Linked DNA regions of Stegostoma tigrinum. The protein of the gene in region 3 interacts with the protein of the main gene of each other region in a pairwise test. Links are inferred from orthologs where the notes say so. Each region holds a gene or a part of one and is shown on either strand. Other genes may lie near its edges.

What was found. The genes of interacting proteins can lie anywhere in the genome.
Region 1: the proteins of traf2 and NCK-interacting protein kinase (region 3) and agtpbp1 interact in a two-hybrid assay, tested with the Homo sapiens proteins (2 studies listed by BioGRID and IntAct). The link is inferred for Stegostoma tigrinum from reciprocal best matches to the Homo sapiens genes TNIK and AGTPBP1.
Region 2: the proteins of traf2 and NCK-interacting protein kinase (region 3) and srgap3 interact in a two-hybrid assay, tested with the Homo sapiens proteins (2 studies listed by BioGRID and IntAct). The link is inferred for Stegostoma tigrinum from reciprocal best matches to the Homo sapiens genes TNIK and SRGAP3.

Annotation. Positions count from the first base shown.
Region 1 is NC_081356.1:58,904,101-58,911,043, reverse strand, and holds the start of agtpbp1 (cytosolic carboxypeptidase 1), read right to left. Parts: upstream 3,089-6,943; 5' UTR 2,896-3,088; intron 1-2,895. Other genes in the region: naa35 (N-alpha-acetyltransferase 35, NatC auxiliary subunit), read left to right, coding at 5,739-5,862. UniProt on the Homo sapiens protein: Metallocarboxypeptidase that mediates protein deglutamylation of tubulin and non-tubulin target proteins.
Region 2 is NC_081364.1:61,303,181-61,311,143, reverse strand, and holds the start of srgap3 (SLIT-ROBO Rho GTPase-activating protein 3), read right to left. Parts: upstream 3,089-7,963; 5' UTR 2,413-3,088; coding exon 2,346-2,412; intron 1-2,345. UniProt on the Homo sapiens protein: GTPase-activating protein for RAC1 and perhaps Cdc42, but not for RhoA small GTPase. May attenuate RAC1 signaling in neurons.
Region 3 is NC_081367.1:57,295,065-57,302,470, reverse strand, and holds the start of traf2 and NCK-interacting protein kinase, read left to right. Parts: upstream 1-4,367; 5' UTR 4,368-4,810; coding exon 4,811-4,867; intron 4,868-7,406. UniProt on the Homo sapiens protein: Serine/threonine kinase that acts as an essential activator of the Wnt signaling pathway. Recruited to promoters of Wnt target genes and required to activate their expression. May act by phosphorylating TCF4/TCF7L2.

The DNA of each region.
Region 1 (6,943 bases), on a different chromosome or scaffold from region 3:
GACATTAGTGAGCATTATGCAAATAAATTGTGTTGAGGTAGAAGATTAGCCATGATCTCATTGAATCATGGACTGGGTTCAAAGCACTGCCCTACTCCTGTGCATCTTTTTTCATATCTGGTAAACATGAAAAGCACACTACAGAAATACTGTGATGCTTTAAAGGTCTGAGAGTCATTGAAAGATAAACATTTCTATCATGGACTCTGAAAGCTGTGTTTGAACTTCACTTTGAAATTCCACATACAGCACTTAGATACAACATCTTTATCACTCGGTCATCACAGCTGGGTAAAAGCACCCAGAACTATATTACTACCAACAGCCATATTCCGTAGAGTGTTGGTGTAATGTCACAATCTTTTTCACCCCAATTCTCACTGTGGCAGAATGTGTAGTGTTTCAGTTTGTGAAGATTCCAGCCTGTATGATATCATGGAACTTTCAGAAAGAAGCTAAATTTGAGTAGGTTATTATTATGAATGTAGTTGTGAGGGTTACCAGACCTTTAAGAGAGCTGGTCAGGTGACCCAGAGGAACAAATATTGAGTACAGTCCTGAACTGGTTGTAGAGGTGTGAGCATCATCAACAAAGTGTTCCTATTCAGATTTACCACTCATTTACCATGTGTATAATCCCTAATTCCAAAGGAAGCACCAATATAACAGATATTCAATAAGCCTTTAAAGGCTCAGAGTGAAAGGCTTCAGGAGGTTGAAAAAATGTTATATGGAGTGATCGGTGTAATTCCTTGCACTTTTCTTCATCAGACTTGTCACCTTATAAAGGCCATGACACCAGTGACTCTTGATGGGCAGAAACTTCACCAAAACTCAGGAAGGAGCTCCACCAGGGGAGGTGACTGAAGAAACTTTGCAATGATACTCCCTGTGCAAGACAGTGACAAGTGTAGTTAGCTCACTGTGGCTTGTCTCCTTTCTTGAATACAGTTGTGATAAGTGATTCTCAGAATACTTGTTATGTGCTATTTTTCCCAAATGAAGGACACAAGATTATGCAGTCATGCCAAGCGTCTCAGAATTTCAGCAAGGATTCCATCTGCCCAAGGAATTTTCATGTTCATGTTCTTTAGCTGTTGGATGGTTTTCTTTAAAAAAAAGCCTTTCAGTTCTGAAAAAGAGTCATGCCAGACTCAAAATGTTAACTGTATTTTTCTCTCTTGACACACGCTGCCATACCTGGAGAGTTTCTTGAGCATTATCTATGTTTGTTTTAAATATGTCTTCTTAGCATTTTCACAATCAGTGGCTGTAAGTATTAATGCACATGTAAGTTTGTATCCTGTGTTCCTTCCAGGCATATTCTGGTAATCATTGCCCCATTTCTAAACTGCTTTATTATCTTGTTATTTCCCTCTAATTTAAGTGAGAGGAGATGAAATGAATTGGCGTGATCATGATAATTTGCAGGGATTCCAACATTATCCCAATTAAACTGATGGACACTGAGACAATGAAAGCCATCAAAATGACTGGGGCAATGTGACCATCCTAGCTTAAGCCAACCACAGACAAGCATGGGAATTCCTAGGGGCCTGGTTTTCAACTGGTAAGGCAATCAACAAACATATGGAATTAGACCCCATACAAAAACCCATGCAGAACAGAATCAGAAATCAGACAACCCAACTTCACAGTCCTGATCATATAAATAACAAGCAGAGTAGAACAATATCACTTTATCAGAGGCCACACTGATTACTTTACCTAGCATCGTGATGAAACATCTGTATAATAACTAGCCAGCTTGGCAAGCAAGCCAACAACTTCATCCACAACCCAGGCTACAGATCTTCACAAGAGGTTAATATTGTTCCTAAGGCAGATTTCAAGGTCCCTTATGTATGTATTAAATCCCGCAGCTGATCATATGCAATATTGACACAAGCTAACACATGCATGATAAACATAAATCCAATTCGACTGGCCTGCATGAGGTAGATTGTTGATCGTAGGGCAACGAAGGATTATGTGGATAAGGTAGAAAAAGTGGAGGTGATGGATGTTGGATCAACTCTGACCCTACTGAATGGCAGCTCAGGCTCAAAGGGCCGAATGGCCTGCTCCTACTTCTTATTTATGGTCTTACTAATTGGTGATCCTGTCCTCAGAATTTAAAACAGCATTCTGGAGACCCTCCTCCCCAGATTGCACAAATATTAAAGTAAAACACAAGTATAAAAGCAATTTATCCACAGAATAAATTTAGGGTAATTCTCTGATTGATCCCATCAAAAATAGGAATGGGGATACAAAAGGCAAGAAACTAAGAACAAAAAAAAGACTGAGATAACAAAGTGTCGAACTGTATGAACACAGCAGGCCACGCAGCATCAGAGGAGCAGCAAAGTTGACGTTTCGGGTCTGAACTCTTCTTCAAAAAAAAAGACTATTCTTTTCTAATGGCTGAAATAGTTGTAAAATAATGGCACAACAAGGCTGACCAATTTTACTATCTACAACAATGTAAAACAAACTTAATTCTGTTCTACCTGATGCTGCCAGACCTGCAGGTCTTCATCAGCACTTTACTTTCGTCACTTCCCACAAGGTGGGTATTCCTTAACTGCGAATATGCGCTGGGTCTCGTATGAGCGCCCATGAGAATTTAGAATTTAATATAAGAACAAAAGCGCAAAGTGGCAGACAATCACAGGGCAATCGCACAGTGCCTACAAAAAAAATATTTTCTGCCGAGTTGCCAGCATCAATATGCAGCAGATGGAAACCATCGTTCGTGAAACTTTCAGCTGAATCAAATAAGAGTCCAGATCCATTGCACAAGGAGAACGGTGAGCAATCCCAATATCCTAACCCATTGAAATACTGATCAGCTCAGACAGCGACGCGGCTTGTTGTTGTGACCACACTTACTTTCATTGGCAGGGAATCCCTCAGGCTGTCAAAGGCACTTTACACATACAGTCTCTTTCTCTCATACTGATCTCGATGGATGAGTAATCTCCTGACAGACTCCAGAACGTCCAAGTAAAGGCTATGATAGCAATTAACACCATTAACCATTTACCTCCCCGGCTCTTCCGGTCCCCCCACCCCCACCCCCACCACCACAACCACGGCTGCCGGGGAGAATTCCGTTGCAGGAAATGGTCAAATTCACATTCCGCAGACTCGAGCTGGTCCTCGCGATAATTCGCTATTTGTGGCGCCGATGGGATTTGTAGTTCCAGGGAAATTTTCCAGACATGGCGTGGACGTTATTCCTGCCCAGGTCAGGACTACAGTTCCCAAAATGCGAAGCGCAGCGGCAGCCGAATGACGAACTTGAAGTATGGTTTCGGCTACCCAGGTCACGGTGATGTGCTGAAGGTAGCTTCACTCTCAAGGTAAGGAGAGAGGATGAAACGGTGCAATCTTCTGTAGGGAGAAGTAGTCATTCAGTTAGATATGCTTCATTCCGCGTACCTCCTCGAAAAATCATGTATGGAAATTTGAGCAACTGGTGACAATTTTCATCCACCTTCGACTTTACACGTATGGCCTCTGCAATGGATTAATAGTTGCATGAACGTGATTTAAAGAAAACCATAAAATATAGGAGCAAGATTGGGCCGTTCCGCCTAAGGAGTCGTCTTCGCCATTCTACTATGGTTGACATGTTTTTCAACCCCATTTTCCAGCCTTCCCCCTATAACCTTTGATCCCTTAACCAATCAAAAACCTATCTATTTCTGCCTAAACGCAGTCAAAAACAGCCTCCACAGCCTTCTGCGACAAGGAGGTCCACAGATTCACTATTTTCTGGCTAGAAATTTCACCATCCTCAGTTCAAACAATCATTTCTTCACTCAGAGGCTGTGCCCTTGGCTCCCGTTCTCTTCAATAGTCGAAACGTCTTCGTCATGGCCCCTCTTTCCAGGTTTGTCAGTAGCCTATAAGTTTTTCAATGAGATTCCGCCTCATTCGTCTAAATTCCATTCAGTAGAGACCCAGAGTCATAAACTGCTCCTCATAATGACAAGCCCTTCACCCCCAGGATCGTTCTTATAAACATCCTCTGATGTGGGAGGGGATCCAGCATATCCAACCTTTGATACAGGACTCAGAACTGCTTACAATATTCCAAATGCAGTCAGACCAGAGCCTGAGTGGTACATCTTGCTGTTGTATTCTAGTCCTCTTGAAATGAAAGCTAATATTTCATTGACCTTCCTAACCGCCAACTGAACCTGCATGTTAATTTTGAGAATCCTGATCTTTTACTGAAGCCGTTCCCTACTTAGAAAATAGACCACACCTCTATTCTTCCTACAAAAGTGCATAAACTCTCTTTCCCATATTCCATTCCATCTGCCACTTTGTTGTGCACTCACTTAGCCTGTCCAAGTCCTTTTGTAGTCTCCCTGCCTCCGTAACACTACTTGTACCCCCACCTATTTTTGTATCATCTGAAAACTGAGCAACAATGCCATCAGTTCCTCCTTCCAAATAATTGGAATGTATAACATGATTACTTATGGTTCCAACACTGATCCCTGTGGAGCTCCACTAGACGCTTGCTACCATCCTGAAAAAGACCTCTTTATCTCCATTCTCTGCTTCTGCCAATCACCCAATCTCTATCCAGGCCTCGAACACCACAAGCCCTTGTAGGTGAGTCTTCTGCACCGAAGGTAGGGGCTAATACCACTGCACCAAATGAGCCCCTCCATGGATGTTGTTATAAATGAATTTTCAGACCAAATTCGATAAGGTATCACCGTAATAGGTAGTTACTCATGATTAGAACACATGAGTTAATGGATAATGCATCAACATAGATTGGTTAACAGACAGAGATTAGTAAAAGCAAATCACTTTTAGAATGGCAATTTGTAACTGGTGAAATGTTTCCAAGTGTGAAGTGTTTAATATCTGTTGAATTATATTGCTTAAGAATGGGATAATTGACTCTTATCAGCCGGCTTGTTTTTTGAAGAGAATATCAATTGCTGAATGGTGAGAAGAGATGCCACTGCTGATCCTGATAGTATTGTTATGGTCTAAGACGCTGGAACAGGGAAGTGGTAACAGAATCTGGGGAAAAGAACATTTTAATTTGGTTTGTAGCATACTCCATTGGGCAAAGGAGAAAAGAGGGTCATCAATAATGATAAGCGAAAACTTTCACAAGTTCTATAATGGGGAGAAAGTGAGAAGCCATCTTCATCCAGAAGCAATGTGTGCCTGTAGAATTTTCATGAAATCTGATACATAGACATGGGAGGAAAGAAGTAAGAGGCCAAAGAGTTGCAAAATGTGGCCATTCCCCATTAATCTGTTTTGAGGCAGATGGAACTACTCGGGAGAAATTTTCATTCTTCCCATTGTGATGGTGGAGGATTGGGCAAGTTTGATTTCAGGTGTGTTGAATGAAGACCTCTCCTTCCCCCTAGCATAATGATTAGAGACAGTAATATTGAGAAACTGCGTCCTTCCAACACAGACCCAATCAGCCATGTCTTCCCAGCTTATCAATTCTGTATCTGCCTATCTATTGCTGTAATTAATAAAACAACAGTGCTTTCTCCGTGATAGTTGATACTGTCCTTGGAGGTCTCAGGAAAAGGTTGAAAATCTTTGTTATTACTGAGCCCTGTAGTGAAGACAAATCTTCGATTTGTGTAAAGGCTTCCAGTCAACAGGAAACAGAAAAATCTCCTCTGCTGAAGAATCTAACCCAATTTATCTTGTATGGTTTGATGTCCACAGTTATCATGGTCACTAAAGCATCTTTGGACGAAGACGATATTGGCTGGGGACTTGGTATCTCAGAAAAGATGGAAAAAATTAATGCAAACTGGGTTGACATTACCAAGCAATTCAAGGATTGCTGTAAAGGTAAATTTATAGATATTTTGTGCAATTTTCTTGTTGCTTATGAAGCTAGTGGAAGCATGGGTCCTTGAATATTTTTATGGCAGAGGTAGATAGATTCTTGTTAAGAAAAAGGGTGAAAGAATATCAGAAGTGGGTGGGAATGCAAATTTTGAGGTTGTGATCAGACCAGCCACAACCCTGTTGAATGACAGTGCAAGCTTGAGGGGCTGAATGGACTACATCTGCTCTTAATTCATATGTTTACTGAGAGTCTCCAAGCCACAACCCTGTTGAATGACAGTGCAGGCTTGAGGGGCTGAATGGACTACATCTGTTCTTAATTCATATGTTTACTGACAGTCTCCAAGAATCCATAAACGTAGAGTAAATATATTCTGTTTTTTTTTCCCCAACTACGGAACCTTTTCCAAATTTCTGCTTCTGTCCTTTTTAGCTCCCAAAATCTTTGTTTATTTTGGAGATCTTGGGAATGTGAGCATCACTAACATGGCACACATTAATAGTTTATTCCTAATTGACCTCCGTGATGGTGAACCACTGCAGTTCATAAATACACCCAATTGTTTTGGATTTTGACCAAACAACAGTTAAGAAATTGCAACAGTTCCATGTTAGAATGATTTGAGGTGTGGGGAGAAACTTGCTGCCCTTGTCTCTCAAGGTGATTGATAGTGGCTGTGTATCAGTTCAAGGATGATGCCTCCTTGGGGTTGTGGGTATCTCCCATGGCTTCAAGTGAATGATAGAACAGTTCACAATACACATGACTTTGGACACATGGGGCAGAAGATACCGGGAGATAGGGGGATCCAGAATGCAAGATTTGCTTCTGTTCTTTCCTTCACTGCAGCTGCTCTGTCTCCATCGATGATGTGTTTGCATCAAAGCATGATGAAGTTTGTTAGACAAGTTTTTCCATTTTAGATGATTGGCAGTAAACTCCTTCCAGTCATTAATATAAATGCCACAGCACTTGAAGGAGAGCTTCAGAGTGTCATTGAAGTGTTTCCTTTGTATTCTCCTGTAATGTTGGCCACTTGAAAGTCAGATCTGTATCTGAAGCACTGACCTTTAAGGCTAT
Region 2 (7,963 bases), on a different chromosome or scaffold from region 3:
AGATATACTTCTTGGATTGTGATGATAGATAACTGTACCCTATGGCCCTGGCCAGCAGAGGTTCTGTCCTTCACTGAGAGTTAACCAATTGCATCAGGAGGGTGAATGAGGTTTTTAAGACTTGCCTCAGTGTTGCCTGCTCAGTAGACAGAGGCTTTTGCTGAAAAGGCAGAAAGCAAGGACCCTCTTGTGGCCTGGTGGTACTGTCCCGACCCAGGAATGGGAGGCCCAAGTTCAAGCCCCCACCTGCTCCAGAGGTGATCAATAACATCTCCAAAACAGTATGATTGGAAAAATGTTTTTTTAAAAACAAACTGCAGACTCAGGGCCCTCTTATGGCGCTGAGGCAGTGTCTCTATCCCTGGGCCAGGAAGCCCAGGTTCAAGTCCCAACTGCTCCAGAGGTGCACAATAGGTTGATTAGAAAAAAAAGGTAAAATTGAAACAACAGTCTCAGGTACACGATAACAAGGTGTAGAGCTGGATGAATTAAGCAGGCCAAGCAGCATCAGAGGAGTAGGAAAGCTGATGTTTCGGGCCTATGGGCAGGATTGGGGCTCGAGTGTGGTCGTCATCAGCCCTGGCAGTAACAACCAGGGTCCCCATGTGAAGGCAGCTGACTTGGATGGTTCGGGTAGCAACAGCAGAACCCCATCTAGCATCAGTAAGGAGAGGGGTAGATAACAAGCATGGTTTTTTTATAAAGAAGAAACGAGCACATTAACCCAGAGGAAATGCAGAACCAGAATGGTGCAGTGTCACAAGCCACTCACACCCCAAACAGTTCCAAAAGTCTCAACAACAATCCACCTGGACAAGTCTCTGCCAGGACCAAAACTGCACAGTGTGGGTCAGAAAACTAACAGCAGCCCCGGTCATTGTGGGCTGTTCCAGCCAACACTTAGTTCTGTGTCTGACATTGGCCCAGAGCCCCTCCATCCCTGGAAAGTCAGTGAGCTCCAGCAGCAGGAGAGGGGCTGGTGGGGTGAAGAATGAGAGAGTAGGGAGACAGCAATCCCTCCTTTTTCCCCTCTCAGGGTCCTGTTCTCTCTTCCATACCAACTGGCATTGCAAACACCAGCTCCTGTCACATCTCACCCAACCCACCCCCCACCAAACCAGCTTCCCCCAGCAGCAACATTCACCTTATTCAGAGCACAAACACACAGACAGCATTACATCGGCTGAGTTAAAACCTTCACTGCAGAGATCAGAAGACAGAAGCCATTCCAGTTACTCTGACACATCGCTCACTCAGAGCTGGCAGTAAAACCCCTGTTAATGGAGTTTAAAATACACCACTGTTTGGAAGAGATTGAGTAGATAGTGATACACACCTTTTAAACCTACTTCAATACATCATTTTTACCAGTACTTTTATTTAAAAAGGGGACAAGCACAATAGGGCTGATTGAGGCAGATACAAGGGGTTGGTGGACCATACGGGCTATACTAATCCAGGGGCATAATTATTTCCCCTGCTCTACCTCACCGACCCCCAACACACCGAGCAAAACAGAAAGGTGGGGAGATGAAAGGAAATAAACCACGTGAAATCTCCAGCGATATCTAACACAGAGCCAACCCTAAAGCGTGAAGGGGACCCAGAGAATTCGATCAATGCTTGGATTTGGGAGCCTCTGTCAGTCTCCCTGTACCCGGGGAACGGGGGGGGGGGGGGGCGCAATAACACTGATTAAAGCGGGGGGGGGGGCAAGATACTTTTATCCTTCTCCCCCCCCCCACACCCTCAGCCCTTAATAACTCAACCTATTATGTTTAATATACAAGTTTGATTTATAAAGGGGGGGCGCGGATCTCACAGTGATTTTGGGAAGCAAGAGACCCCCCCCCTTTGGTTGAAACAGCTACTTTATTAATAATAAAGTAAAAGGCGGGGTGGGGGGGGGGGGTACGGCTGCAACACACGGGAAACAGAAGTTGGGGGGGGGGGAAGAAGAGAGAGAAAGCAGAGAGCACTATTAACGCGTCCTAGCTCTGAGCAAGGGACGCGGGTGTGATCGTCAGCACAATCTGCCGCCTAACCGAGAAGCTTGCTTAGCTACTGCTTCCAGCTTTCCAACACACTGCAATGCAGTTCTGAAACTGTACCCTCCCCTCCCCTCCCCTCCCCCCTCCCCACCTTCCCTTTTACACAACAACAAAAAAATAACGTAACTCCAACTGTCCCAGCAGCTCCAGAATCCCATTTAACCTGGAGGTAGCCTATTTCCATGTGCGTTTGTGCAATACCCCAGATTAATACACCGGGGTCGGGGAGGGGTCCCAAAACATTGCACGGCGTAGAACAAAACAGAAAAACCACACATACAGTCGGGAACCTACCTTTGACCTGGGTCTCATATTCCGTGGTGATCTCTTTGTCCTTTTTGAATTTTGCTTGAGATGACATCCTGTCCGCCGGCCCCAGTTCGCAGCACCAGCTCCTCTCGTCAGTCCCGGGGGTTGTTCAACTCTTTCCCCTCACTCACTCGATTACAGCTTCAGGAGCTGTGTGTGTGATAGAGAGAGAGAGATCTGGGAATCTCCCCAAGTCACACTCTGTGTCAGGTTCACGCTTTGAAATCGCTTGAAAATAAAATAACCCTCCTCCTCCTCCCCCTACTGGCCTGTTTTTTTTGGGGGGTGGGGTGGAAATAGAGACCAGAGATAGGTGCAAACGCTGCTCCTTTTCCTGAATCGCTCAGCTTATTTACTCAGTTCCATTGTGAGGGGTTCTCTTTGAAAACCGATACAGAGAAGGGGAGAGGATATAGTTGTAAAGGCGAAGGTTCCAGCTCAGAAAATGCAGGCAGCGACTCCGAGTCTGTGGTGTGCTGCTGGGGTAGTGAAAGGAAAGACTGGGTAGGCGGGGAGGGGGGGGATGGGATGGGATGGGATGGGAGGGGGTGAGGTGAAACTGTGGTGGGATAGGCAGCCTGAACTGGGAGCACTTCCTCACTGGCTCGCCCTGTGTCCGGCTCCCCTGCAATTTCTCATCCTGCTTCAGCCTCCCAAATCTTGCAAGCTGCAGCTCAAATCTGGAGCAGAGGAGCGAACTGCATTTGAGGGAAGGTGGGTGAGAGGGAGAGTGGAAAAAAATGTCTGAATCTTGACTGCAGGAACAGTCACGTCAAGTGCTCCTCCCACCCCCTCCGATGCACATCAGAGGGAGGGGACATATCGTATCCTACAGGACACTCTCCGAATTGCATGGGGTTCGTGTATCCTTATATCGCAAGTGGTTCGCACCATCCCCACCCAAGAGCTGCCCCCAACTTTGCTCTTTTTTTTCAGTGCAGCAGTCCTGACCATCTTTCCTGTTTCCTGCTGGGCCTTCTTAGTCTTTGCCTTTTTTTTTGATTCGGCTGTGTGCCGACTCCGCTCAAAACTTAAGCCCTGCGCTTACCTGCTGTGAAACCCGGGCGCAGCAACTTTGGGGCTGTGTTCACTGGGACACACTGAGGCTGTTGGCCGGGGTAGGATGGGCAGCCTCCCGCACACTGTCTAACAATCGGCAGCACACGCAGTGGTGGAGTGAGATTTGCTGTGATATAAATAATAACAAATCAAACTATTTCCATTGTATAACGCAGGATTGCCCTCTTACTCCCCGCGCCTTCATAAATCCCTTGCCTTCTCAATCAGCTGTTCATGGTCCTGAGGCCTCCCTTCTGAGCTGCCTCTCTATTTCCCTCCCCACATGCTTTACCTCCTCACTTCTTTACCTCCCTTTCCTACCCACCCATCCCTTTTTTCCTGGCCCACCTGCTATCCAGTTTAATTAATTTCAAGGGACATGGACATCACTGGTTGGGCCAGGATTTACTGCCCGTCCCTAGTTCCTCCTTGAGAAGGTGGCGGTGAGTTGCCTTCTTGAACCGCTGCAGTCTGTGAGCTGTAAGTAGACCACGAAGTCCTTAGGGAGGGAATTCCAGGAATTTGACCCAGTGACAGTGAAGGAATGGCGATATATTTCCAAAGCAGGATGGTGAGTGGCTTGGAGGGGAACTTGAAGGTGGTGTGTTCCCATGTGCCTGCTTCCTTTGTCCTTCTAGATGGCAGAGGTCATGGTTTGGAAGGTGCTGCCTGAGGATCTTTAGTGAATTTCTGCAGTGCATCTTTTAGACGGTACACACTGCTGCTACTGAGTGTTGGTGGAGGAGGGAGTGGATGCTTGTGGATGTGGTGCCAATCAAGCAGGCTGCTTTGACCTGGATGGTGTTAAGCTTCTTGAGTGTTGTTGGGGCTGCACCCATCCAGGTGAGTGGGGAGTATTCCATCACACTCTGAACTGTGCCTTGTAGATGGTGGGACAGGCTTTGAGGAGTCAGGAGGTGAGTTACTCCATGCAGCATTCTTAGCCTCTGACCTGCTCCTATATATTGATATGGCTGATCCAGTTGACTTTCTGGTCAATGGTGCCCTCCTGGATGTTGATAGTGGGAGATTCCGTGATGATAATAGCAATTAATAACAAGGAATGGTCATTAGAGTCTTTGCTGCAGTTGGTCATTGCCTGGCATTTGTGTGGTGCTAATGTTACATTTCATTTGTCAACCCAAACCTGAACACCTCTTCTTCCCTTAATCCCCCATTGTACTGTCTTCAACACCTATACCTGGTATAGCTCCTTGCCCCTTTATCTCTCATTTTACAATCTGCTCTACCTCCTTGCCACGTCATGTGCTGTATTTGTATGGAGCTAGCTGGGCAGTGAAGCAGCTGGAGGTGTTATTGCCCAGGTTAGTGCCCATGCCAGGGATAAGAAGATGACAACTGGAATGCCAACAATCTTCTTGAAGTTATGCACAGTGGTTAATTTTCCCCAAGGCACCTCCTCTTTTATATTAACATTGTGGCAAAAGAGAGTGTTGTCCCACTCCTGATTTTCTTCAGTATTATTTCTGGGCATTGGCTAAATGTTGAAACAGGTTGGGCCTGTATTCATTGGAGTTTCACAGAATGAAAGGTGATCCTGTTGAAACATATAAGATGCTGAGGTGGACTTCACAGGGTAGATACTGAAAAGATATCACCCCTTGAGGGAGAAATTAGAACAAAAGGCACAGTTCAAAATCATGGAGTCCCCATTTTGAGATGGAGATGATTTTTTTTCTTTCTCAGGAGGTTGTGAATCTGTCAAACTCTCTTTCCCGGAGAAAATGGAGGGTGGCTTATTGAATATTTTCAAGGCTGCTTGATGGACCCCTGACTAACCCAGATGTCATTGCTGAGTCTGAAATGTAAGCTTGGTCAACCATGCTCCTTTCAAATGGTACAGGATGTCCAAGGAGTCAAGGGGTCCTAGCCCTGTCCTAATGTGTACCTTGGTCCTTATTCCAGCCTGTTTACCTGTCCTTTTCTATTAATCTGGTTGCCCAATCCATTTTCGCCAATGGCCATCCTACCTCCTCCTACCAACCTTCCATATTGCTTTGAAAGCTTCCCTTGTGCCCTCCTGATCCCTGCCAGTGTCCCTACTGCAATATCATTCTTCCCCGTGCCCTCTTCCCATTGTCCCATGGTGACTGAATATCCCGTCCTCTGCCCTTTGGATTGGTATATTTCCTGACTATAATTTACAGGTAAGTACATCACATCGATCATATCTGATGCTGTTTCTGTTCATGTTTGTCTGGAATTTTCCAATCCGTATCTAATTGGTCCTCATTGATTTGTGAGATGTACTGTGTCTCATGTTTATTCTCCGCAGCTTTCAACACGTATGTGTGGAATTCCCCCCCCCCCCCCGCCGTTAGTGTGGGGGCGATAATTGCTGCAAACTGTTGTGTAGGGCATTCACTGAAGTCTTGAGGAACGTTACTAATTTTTGTGGCAAGAATTTGATTAGTTACTGAGTTCAGACCAATTTAATTAATTGGAAGCCTAAATTCAGTTCCTTCAAATTACTAATTAAGTGACTCATGAGTGGAATTGTTGTGTGAGATATGTCTTATCAAACCTTGCCATCTGTAAATGCCTCTTTGAAATCAGATGGATGAGACATTCCATCATGAAAACCTTAATTGTTCCAAACAGTGGATAGTTGTCGAATAGTTATTTGGGTTCAAAGATGACTGCTACAAAAGTCATGGAGTCATACAGCACAGAAACAGACCCTTCAGTCCAAACAGAGATAATAGGATCTGCAGATGCTGGAGAATCCAAGATACCAAAATGTGGGGCTGGGTGAACACAGCCCAGCTCAGCTTGTCCCTGCCTGCCTAACCTGTTCTTCCTCTCACCTATCCCCTCCTCCCACCTCAAGCTGCACCTCCATTTCCTACCTACTAAACTCATCCCGCCCCCTTGAACTGTCCGTCCTCCCCAAACTGACCTATCCCCTCCCTACCTCCCCACCCATACTCTCCTCTGCACCTATCTTCTCCTCTATCTATCTTCAGTCTGCCTCCCACTCTCTCCCTATTTATTTCAGAAACCTCTCCCCATCCCCTTTTCTGATGAAGGGTCTAGGCCCGAAACGTCAGCTTTTGTGCTCCTAAGATGCTGCTTGGCCTGCTGTGTTCACCCAGCCCTACACTTTGTTACCTTCAGTCCAACCAGTCCATGCCCACCATAATCCCAAACTAAACTAGCCCCACATGCCTGTGCTTGGCCCATATCCCTCCAAACATGTCCCATTCATACACTTCTCTTAATACCTTTTAAACATTGTAAATGTATCTGCATCCACCACTTCCTCTGGAAAATCATTCCACACATGAACCATCCTCTGTGTAAAAAGCAAAACCTCTCGTGTTGTTTTTAAATCTTTCTCCTCTCGCCTTATAAACATGCCCCCTAGACTTGAAATCCCCCAGCCTAGGGAAAAGACACCTGCCACTCACCTTATCAATACCCCTCATGATTTTATAAACCTCTATAAAGTCAGGGGCAGCACAGTGGCTCAGTGGTTAGCACTGCTGCCTCACAGCGCCAGGGACCCGGGTTCGATTCCTGCCTCGGGCGACTGTGTGGAGTTTGCACATTCTCCCCGTGTCTGCATGGGTTTCCTCCGGGTGCTCCGGTTTCCTCCCACAGTCCAAAGATGTGCCGGTTAGGTGGATTAGCCATGCTAAATTGCTGTAGTGTTCAGGGGTGTGTGTGTTATAGGGGAATGGGTCTTGGTGGGATGCTTCAAGGGGCGGTGTGGACTTGTTGGGCCGAAGGGCCTGTTTCCACACTGCAGGGAATCTAATCTAATCTTTAAAAAAACGCTCTCAACCTCCTGTGTGCCAGTGAAACAAGTCCCAGCCTCTCTTTAAAATCCAAGCACCACCCCCCCCACCTTGATTCCGGCAACATCCTGGTAAATCTCTTCAGAACCCTCTCTGGCATAATCCTTCATACAACAGGGAGACCAGAACTAGACACAATATTCTCGAAGAGGCCTTACCTGTATAATCTCAGCATAACGCCCCAATAAGTCCGGTGTGTAATCTGTAGATTCCGCAAAGTGCTGGAGGGCTGGGTTGTTGGGTTGTTTGGACATTTGTTCACACTTTTCATCCCTTGACTTTTGCCTCTCTGTTTTCCTGACCAAGTCTCTTGATGTGTTTGGTGCCTGCCAACTTAGGCCTTCTCCAGTTGGTCATCACAAGCGGGGATTCACGCAAGTCATTCGCTAGGTATGTCTGACACTTTCAAGGGTGCTTTGAGGACATCTCTGACGAATTTCCACTGTCTTCCTCATAGTGTCCTGCTGAGACTGGGTTCCAGGTAGAGGAGTTGCTTCAGGAACCTGGAGTCGGGTTATGAATGATGTGTCCCACCCATGAAACTTGAATTTGAGTAATTAAAGCCTTGATACTGGGAAAATTGATATGGTAGGGAGATCCTACGGTTGGACTACCGTTCCTGCTGCTGAAGTTCTTGCTAAAATCTTGCAAAGGCATCAGTGGTGACATTTCTCCAGTCTCTTGATGTACCTAATGTGAGTTGTTCAAATCTGCAAAGCATCT
Region 3 (7,406 bases):
CTCAAAACATTCTATAAACTCCTCATTCAGGCTTCTACAGCACACGTGATTTTTCCAGTTTATGTTTAGATTAAAATTACCCTTGGTTATTACCATCCCTTTATCACAAGCACTGAATATTTCTTTCTGGATATGCTGTCTCACATTGTGGTTAGTGTTATGAGGCCTACAGACCACTTGCATAAATGACGTTTCTCCCCCTAACATTCTTCATTTCTATCCAAACTGATTCTGCATTTTGATCTCCTGAATGGAGGCCATCTCTTACAAGTACACAAATGTCATCTTTGATTGACTTCCATATTTCCCACGCCTGCTATTCACCTTGAATAAACTGGAGAGGCCTTCAAAATGGGATAATGAGAGTTCAGAGTCTGTATGTTCCTGTTAGTATGAAGGGCAAGGCTGGTATGTGCAGGCAAGATAACAAAGTGTGGAACTGGATGAACACAGCAGGCCAAGCAGTATCTCAGGAGCACAAAAGCTGACGTTTCGGGCCTAGACCCTTCATCAGAGATGGGGATGTGGAGAGGATTGTGAAATAAATTGGGAGAGAGGGGGAGGCGGACTGAAGATGGTTAGAGGAGAAGATAGGTGGAGAGGAGTGTATAGGTGGGGAGGGGATAGGTCAGTTTGGGGAGGACGGACAGGTCAAGGAGGGGGGGATGAAGTTAGTAGGTTGGAAATGGAGGTGCGGCTTGAGGTGGGAGGAGGGGATGGGTGTGAGGAAAAACAGGTTAGGGAGGTGGGGACGAGCTGGGCAGGTTTTGTGATGCAGTGGGGGAAGGGGAGATTTTGAAGCTTGTGAAGTCCACATTGATACCATTGGGCTGCAGGGTTCCCAAGCGGAATGTGAGTTGCTGTTCCTGCAACCTTCGGGTGGCATCATTGTGGCACTGCAGGAGGCCCAGGATAGACATGTCATCAATTCTGTTTGACTAGGCAATTTGAAGCTCCGGTCAAGAAAAAAGAGGCATGTTTAGATATAAGGTGGGATAAAACAAATCCCTAGTGGAGTATAAAGGCAGTAGGAGCATACTCAAGAGGGAAACCAGTGGGGCAAAAAGGGACATGAGATGGTTTTAGCAAGAAGAGTTGAGGAGAATCCAAAGATATTCTACAAATGCATTAAGGGCAAAAGAGTAACCAGGGAGACAATAGGGCCCCTTGAAGATCAACAAGACCATCTATGTGTGGAACCACAGGAGATGGGTGAGATACTAAAAGAGTATTTTGCATCAGGTTTTACTTTGGAGAAGATTATCAAACCTAGAGAACTTGCAGAAATATACAGTGATATCTTGAAAGGCGTCCATATTACAGAAGAGGAGGTGCTGGACATCGTAAAGCTCATAAAGATGGATAAAGTGCTTGGACATGATCATGTGCTTCCCAGAACCTCGTGGGAAGTATTGGAAGTGATTGCTGCGCCTTTGCCTAAGCTATTTGCATCACTGATAGCCACTGGTGAGGTGCTGAAAGACTGGAGGTTGGCTAACATAGCACCACTATTTAAGAAAGGTGGCAAAGAAATGCCATACAACTATAGATCAGTGAGCCTGACATCAGTGGTGGGTAAGTTGTTGGAAGAGATTGTGAGGGACAGGATTTACATGTATTTGGAAAGGCAAGGACTGATTAGGGATAGTCAAAATGACTTTGTGTGTGAGATGTCATGTCTCATTAACTAGGTTGAGCTTTTTTTTGAAGAAGCGACAAAGAAGATTGATGAAGGCAGAGCAGTGGATGTTGGCTATATGGAATTGAGAAAGGTGTTCAACAGGTCCTGCATGGCTGGCTGGTTAGTATGTTAAGATCACATGGAATCTGGGGGTGCTAGGCATTTGGATATAAAATTGGCTTGAAGGTAGAAGACAGAGAGAGGAGGACTGGAGGTCTGTGACCAATGGTGTGATATAAGGATCAGTGCTGGGTCACTAATTTTTGTTGTTTTTATAAATGATTTAGATGTAAATGTAGGAGGTATGGTCAGTAGGTTTGCAGATGATGCCAATATTGGTGGTGTAGTGGGTAGTGAAGAAGGTTATCTCAGAGTATGGGACCTTGACCAGATGGGGGGAGGAGTGGCAGATGGAATTAAATTTAGATGTGTGAGGTGTTGCATTTTGGTCAGGCAAATCAGAGCAGGACTTATACAGTTAATGGTAGGGTCCTGGACAGGGTTGCCGAACAAAGAGACCTTAGGTGCAGGCTCATAGTTCTTTGAAAGTGGAGTAACAGGTGGCCAGAGTAGTGAAGAAGGCGTTTGGTACACTTGCCCTTATTAGTCAGTGTATTGAGTTGGGATGTCATGTTGCAGCTGCACATGAAATTTGTTAGGAATACTACGTTCAATTCTTGTCTCCCTGCTACAGGAAAGATGTTGTTAAACTTGAAAGGGTTCAGAAAAGATTTTCAAAGCTGTTGTCAGGGTTAGAAGATTTCAGCTACAGGGAGAAGCTAAACAGACTGGGGCTATCTTCCCTACAGCGCAGGAAGCTGAACGGAGATTTTTTGGAGATTTATAAAATCATGAGGAGTCTGGATCAGCTGAATTGCTAAGGTCTTTTTCCTTGAGTGGGGTAGTCCAAAATTAGAGGGCATGGGTTTAAGGTGAGAGAGGAAAGATTTAAAAGGGACTTAGGCATTTACAGAGGCAAGTTCCAATGTAAATGCAGGCAAACAAATTTCTAACGGTACTGTATAAGAAAAGGATTGAATATGATTGACTATTGATGTTACACACTACAGGTTTATATTGCATCTGATCCAAAACTTCATATGACTATATACATGTTAATTAAAACATGCAACAATGTTTGCATTTTTAGTTTGGTTGAACATCCTAACATGCTTCACAAGAATGCCAAGGATTTCCTAAAATGCAAAAGCTTGATCAAAGATTAGGTTTTAAGGGGAAAATAAGTCCAGGAGAGAATTGCAGAGATTACAGCTTTTTAATAATTCATTCAAGGGATGAGGGTGTGGCAGGCTAGGCTGGCATTTATTGCCCATCTCAGAGGGCAGTTAAGGGCCAACCACATTGCTGTCATAATCATCAATCAACTCCTAATTCCAGAACTACTTTTTGTTGAATTCAAATTACATCCTCTACCAGGCAGGACTTGAACTTAGGTCCCCTGACCATTACCCGAGTCTCTGATTGACAGACCCCTAATAATACCACTAGTCCACTGTCTGCCCTATCCTGGGCACCTGAAAGCACAGCTGTCAATGGTAGAGCATAATCTACGGGGTTGTACAGAAAGCCAGGATTGGAGGAGGGCAGAGATAATTGTAATTAAGGATATTACTGGAATATGTTGGGTTGAGGCAATGGACAGATTTACCACAAGAATAAGCATTTGTAATTGAGATATTGCTAATGTAAATCAAGGCAATATAATTGTGAGCATTGTTACTTGGTGTGAATTAGATGTGGGCAGCTAAGTTATAGGTTTACTCTAACTTTTTTTTATCTTCTTAAACATCTCACATAATTCTTTCACAGGATGTGAGTGTCGTTGTCTGGATCAGCATTCATTACACATTTGAGAAGGTGGTATTGAGCCACATTCTGGCAGTCCATTTGGTGCGATGACAGCTAGAATGCAGTTGGGAAACAAGTTACAAGGTTTTGACCCTACCACTCTTAAGGAACAAGGAAATTGTTCCAATTCAGGATGAAGTATGCAACTTGCAGATGCCTAAGCTATTGAGGACACAGGGTTACATCTCATCATGATAACTAGTGAAAGTTAAATGTAATTTAAAAACACTGAACATAACACTAGACTCAGTAATGATACCACGGCAATGTTCATTGATTGTCATAAAATCCCATCTGGCTTATTAAAGTACTTTAGGGAAGGAAATCTGCCATCCTCACCAGATCTGCCCCACATGTAACTCCAGACTCATACCAATGTGGCTGACTCCTAACTGCTTCTTGGAACGGTCTGACCACTCATTTGTATCAAAACGCAAAGGCCGTGGTCTGAACATAGGAATCGGGAGCATAGCCGTCCCTCAGGCCACCCCAATTCCAATTCTGCCATTGAATAAGATTATGGCTCACCGCATTCTCAGCTTCACGTTTCCTGTCTGCCACTGATAACCTCACACGCCGCTCAAGCGCCGAAGGGAATTGCAAACCTGCTCGTGCAACCTACTCCCAGAATTTAACCCTCCCCTCGGCGACAGATGGGTGAAGTGTTTCAGGAACATGACATTTCAAGTGATAGTAGTGGTGGTTTGTGGTTGGGGTAGGGGTGTTGCACAAGATCCTCAGTACAGATTCTTTTAAGGAAGGAGGCTGCCATGCTTTCGTTACTGTGTCTTGCCTGCTTGTCCTCTCTCAGCGACAACGTGCTCTTGAAGATTGTTTGCAGTTGCTTGAAAGCGAAGCAGTTTCTCGCTGGTGAAGGATACGCGTGTTGCTGTTTGTCTCCTCCCCGGATGCTGTGATTGACAGATTCTGCAGAGCCCTGCTATGTGTGTGTGTGTGTGTGTGTGTGCTATATATTGTGTGGGCGCTTTGCAGAGAGCAGTTGTTCTGAACAGGACCCTTCACAGAATAGGACTGCAGTAATTTAACTCCCTGTCTCCTGTGGTGTAACCAGAAATTAGGACAAATTAAAACCGAACCCCCCCGCCGTTATTCTTTTCACATGTAAAAGACCTGTCTTATTGATTGTGTGTCATTGAGCGGAAGGATATGTTTTAAATCGTTACAAAAGCAGTGACGAGAGAGAGTGGGAGAGAGACAAGACTAAGCTCCGGGCTGTGTCAGTTTTCGGGTGAAATTAACATGGCGAGCGACTCTCCAGCGCGAAGCTTGGATGAAATCGACCTCTCGGCTCTGAGGGTGAGTAACCCAGATCAGAGCTCTCCTCGTGCCAGATTTTGCTTTCTTCCGGGAGATACATTGTTCCCTCTGTAGCACTGTCACAATCTCCAACACACCAATGTAGCAGTTGTGTGTCACAAAGATGTGCGATGTTACAATCTACATTTCCTGTCCTGTCTCAAAATTGTAGCAAATTGGCAGGAAGGATAAATAACACGTCTAAACCGAGTTGCTTGTGTTTATGTGTAACGTGTTAAGCTCATCATTCCATTAAGCTCACTGTACGCCAATGTCACAATGAATGGGGTGAAATGGAACCTGTTTAGATTTTTTTCATTCATCGACTACACCTCCTCCCCCCCCCACCCCCCGCGCCGTCCAACACCACCCTCCCTCATTCCCGCAGTGAATTGTTTCAATTTGAAGGCATTTGTTACCTTGTGTGTTTGTGGGCGCTCCCAAACCGAGACGATGTTTCATAACATGCGTTTGTAAAGCCTCCGGTTGGAGAGCTTCCTTCAATTTTCTCTGCAGAAAGTGAATTGTTGCTTATTTTCAAGCATTTCGCGAAATTGAGATTGCTGGTCAGAGACCAGGTACGGGGCAGCCTCAGCTTTTATAATAACATAGAGAGGAAAATAAAATACAACTGGATAAAGGAAGAGAAGCTTGGGCCAGGGGTATCGTGCTGTTTCATTCAGCCTACACAAAATGTGTTTGCTGTTAGGGAGGTGGTGGTCAAAGGGTCCTGAAGGGAAAGCTAGCGGATGAGAGATTCCACCTCTGTCTGGATCCCATGCACAAGACCCTGAATGGTTTAATGGCTACGGCAATAGGAGCTGTCATCAGCGACAGGCGTTCACTAACATAATGCTTCGAAGGGAAGGAATCGTTTGGATACCAAACAAAAAAATCACTACTGTTTGTGAGCCTAAAATAGCCTGTCGAAACTTGGGACATTTCAGTTTTGGCCATCTGGTCAGAAGAAGAGAGAGATTCGTGAACATTTTAAACGATCTGTAATGACCCTGATTATTGTGCATGGTAGCCCTGCATAGCGGTGTCTGGTTGAGAAAGACACGAGAAAAGACCGGGAAGAGATGGAGAGGGAGACTGCAAGGAAGGGAATGGGGTAGTTGGTGTTGGAGGGGGGGGGCGGTTAGAATTAGGATGGGGAAGAGTGTGGGAAGGGGAACTTGAGTGGGGAGGGAGCTGATCGTTGTGGAATTTGATAATGGTGATATTTCCATTGTTTAGTGTGCATGATTATCATAAACATCTGTTGTGGAGCCACTTCGGAGTGTAGTGTAGGGGCTTTGTTCCGAGGCACTGAAGGAGCTTTCTGGCTAATTATCTCTTGATTTGCTATAGCATGTCTGAACAATTCTGCTTTTGGCATTTTCAAAGATATTGTCGTGTCAGGGCGCATGTTGGTGGGGGAGGGGGGGGAAGAAATCGAGATTTCAGGTTCAGTGCCCTCTCTCCCAGTTTCTGTTTGTGTGGTTTATTGAGGCAAGTGAGAAAGCCAGTGCAAAAGAAGCACAGGTTAACCCAACAAAGCGCTACTTCCCTCCATTCACTACCAGTTTGGCAAACTGACAGCAGGAATTTGTGAAGTCTTTCAGCAGAGCTGTCACTCTCTGCCAAAAGGAGAGATCTTTGTTTTCATCTCTCTCCACCGTCTCGCCGCTCTGAAAGCTCAGTACAACCCTCCGAGATCGCTGCTGCCTTCCAATATTTGCCCCCTGAGGATTTTAATCTCACCATTAAGGAAACTTCTGTTTACAGCCTGAACTCTTAAGTTCTGGAATCCACTCCTGAAAGGGGGACTGGGAGACGAGAGCTGTAAGCCAATCATTAAGGCCAATGTCTTCGACCAAGCTTTAGGCCGTATGTCCCAACATCTCCCTATGCAGCTGAGTGCCACAATCTATTTAATGACAAGCACCGTGGAACATTTAAATACATGAAAGGTGCTATGTAAATGCACAAAGTTGTTGCCATCCCCCACCCGAGGGTTAGTATTTTGAGTTTAGCGGCTCAGGTATTCCGAATTGAGTTGGGTGGGGGAAATGGGCGTGTGTAAATGTGACTGGAACCACTTCCTCATATGGGGACGGAGGGAGCAATTGTCAACACCGCCAGGTCGGGCTGAACGGCCTCTGTCTGTGTCGTTGGTTGTGTTGTAGCGGTGTTAGGTGAAAACAGACTGCCCACACGTGAGTAAAGTAGGTTGGATAGCATTGGGGTGAGGCTGACTGTGGGGCCGGCCCGCGCTGATTTCCACAGCTTGCGAGTGTGATTGAAAGAAGCCAGTCGTCACTGAATGCTATCCGAGGTCTGATGTTGGCCCCTCTGGCTTGGAATGTGAATATTACATGGTCACTATCTTACATGGTTGGAGCTGCTGAGTTTGGTTCCAGCTTGTCTTGAGCGCATGAAAATGGAGCGGGAATCTCGATCTGTTTTGTCTGGGAGCGAGTTCGTGCCTGCCCTTCCAAATCAGTAAGGTGTTTTGCGTGGAAATTACAGCAAAAATTGACAAGATCTCCCCCTA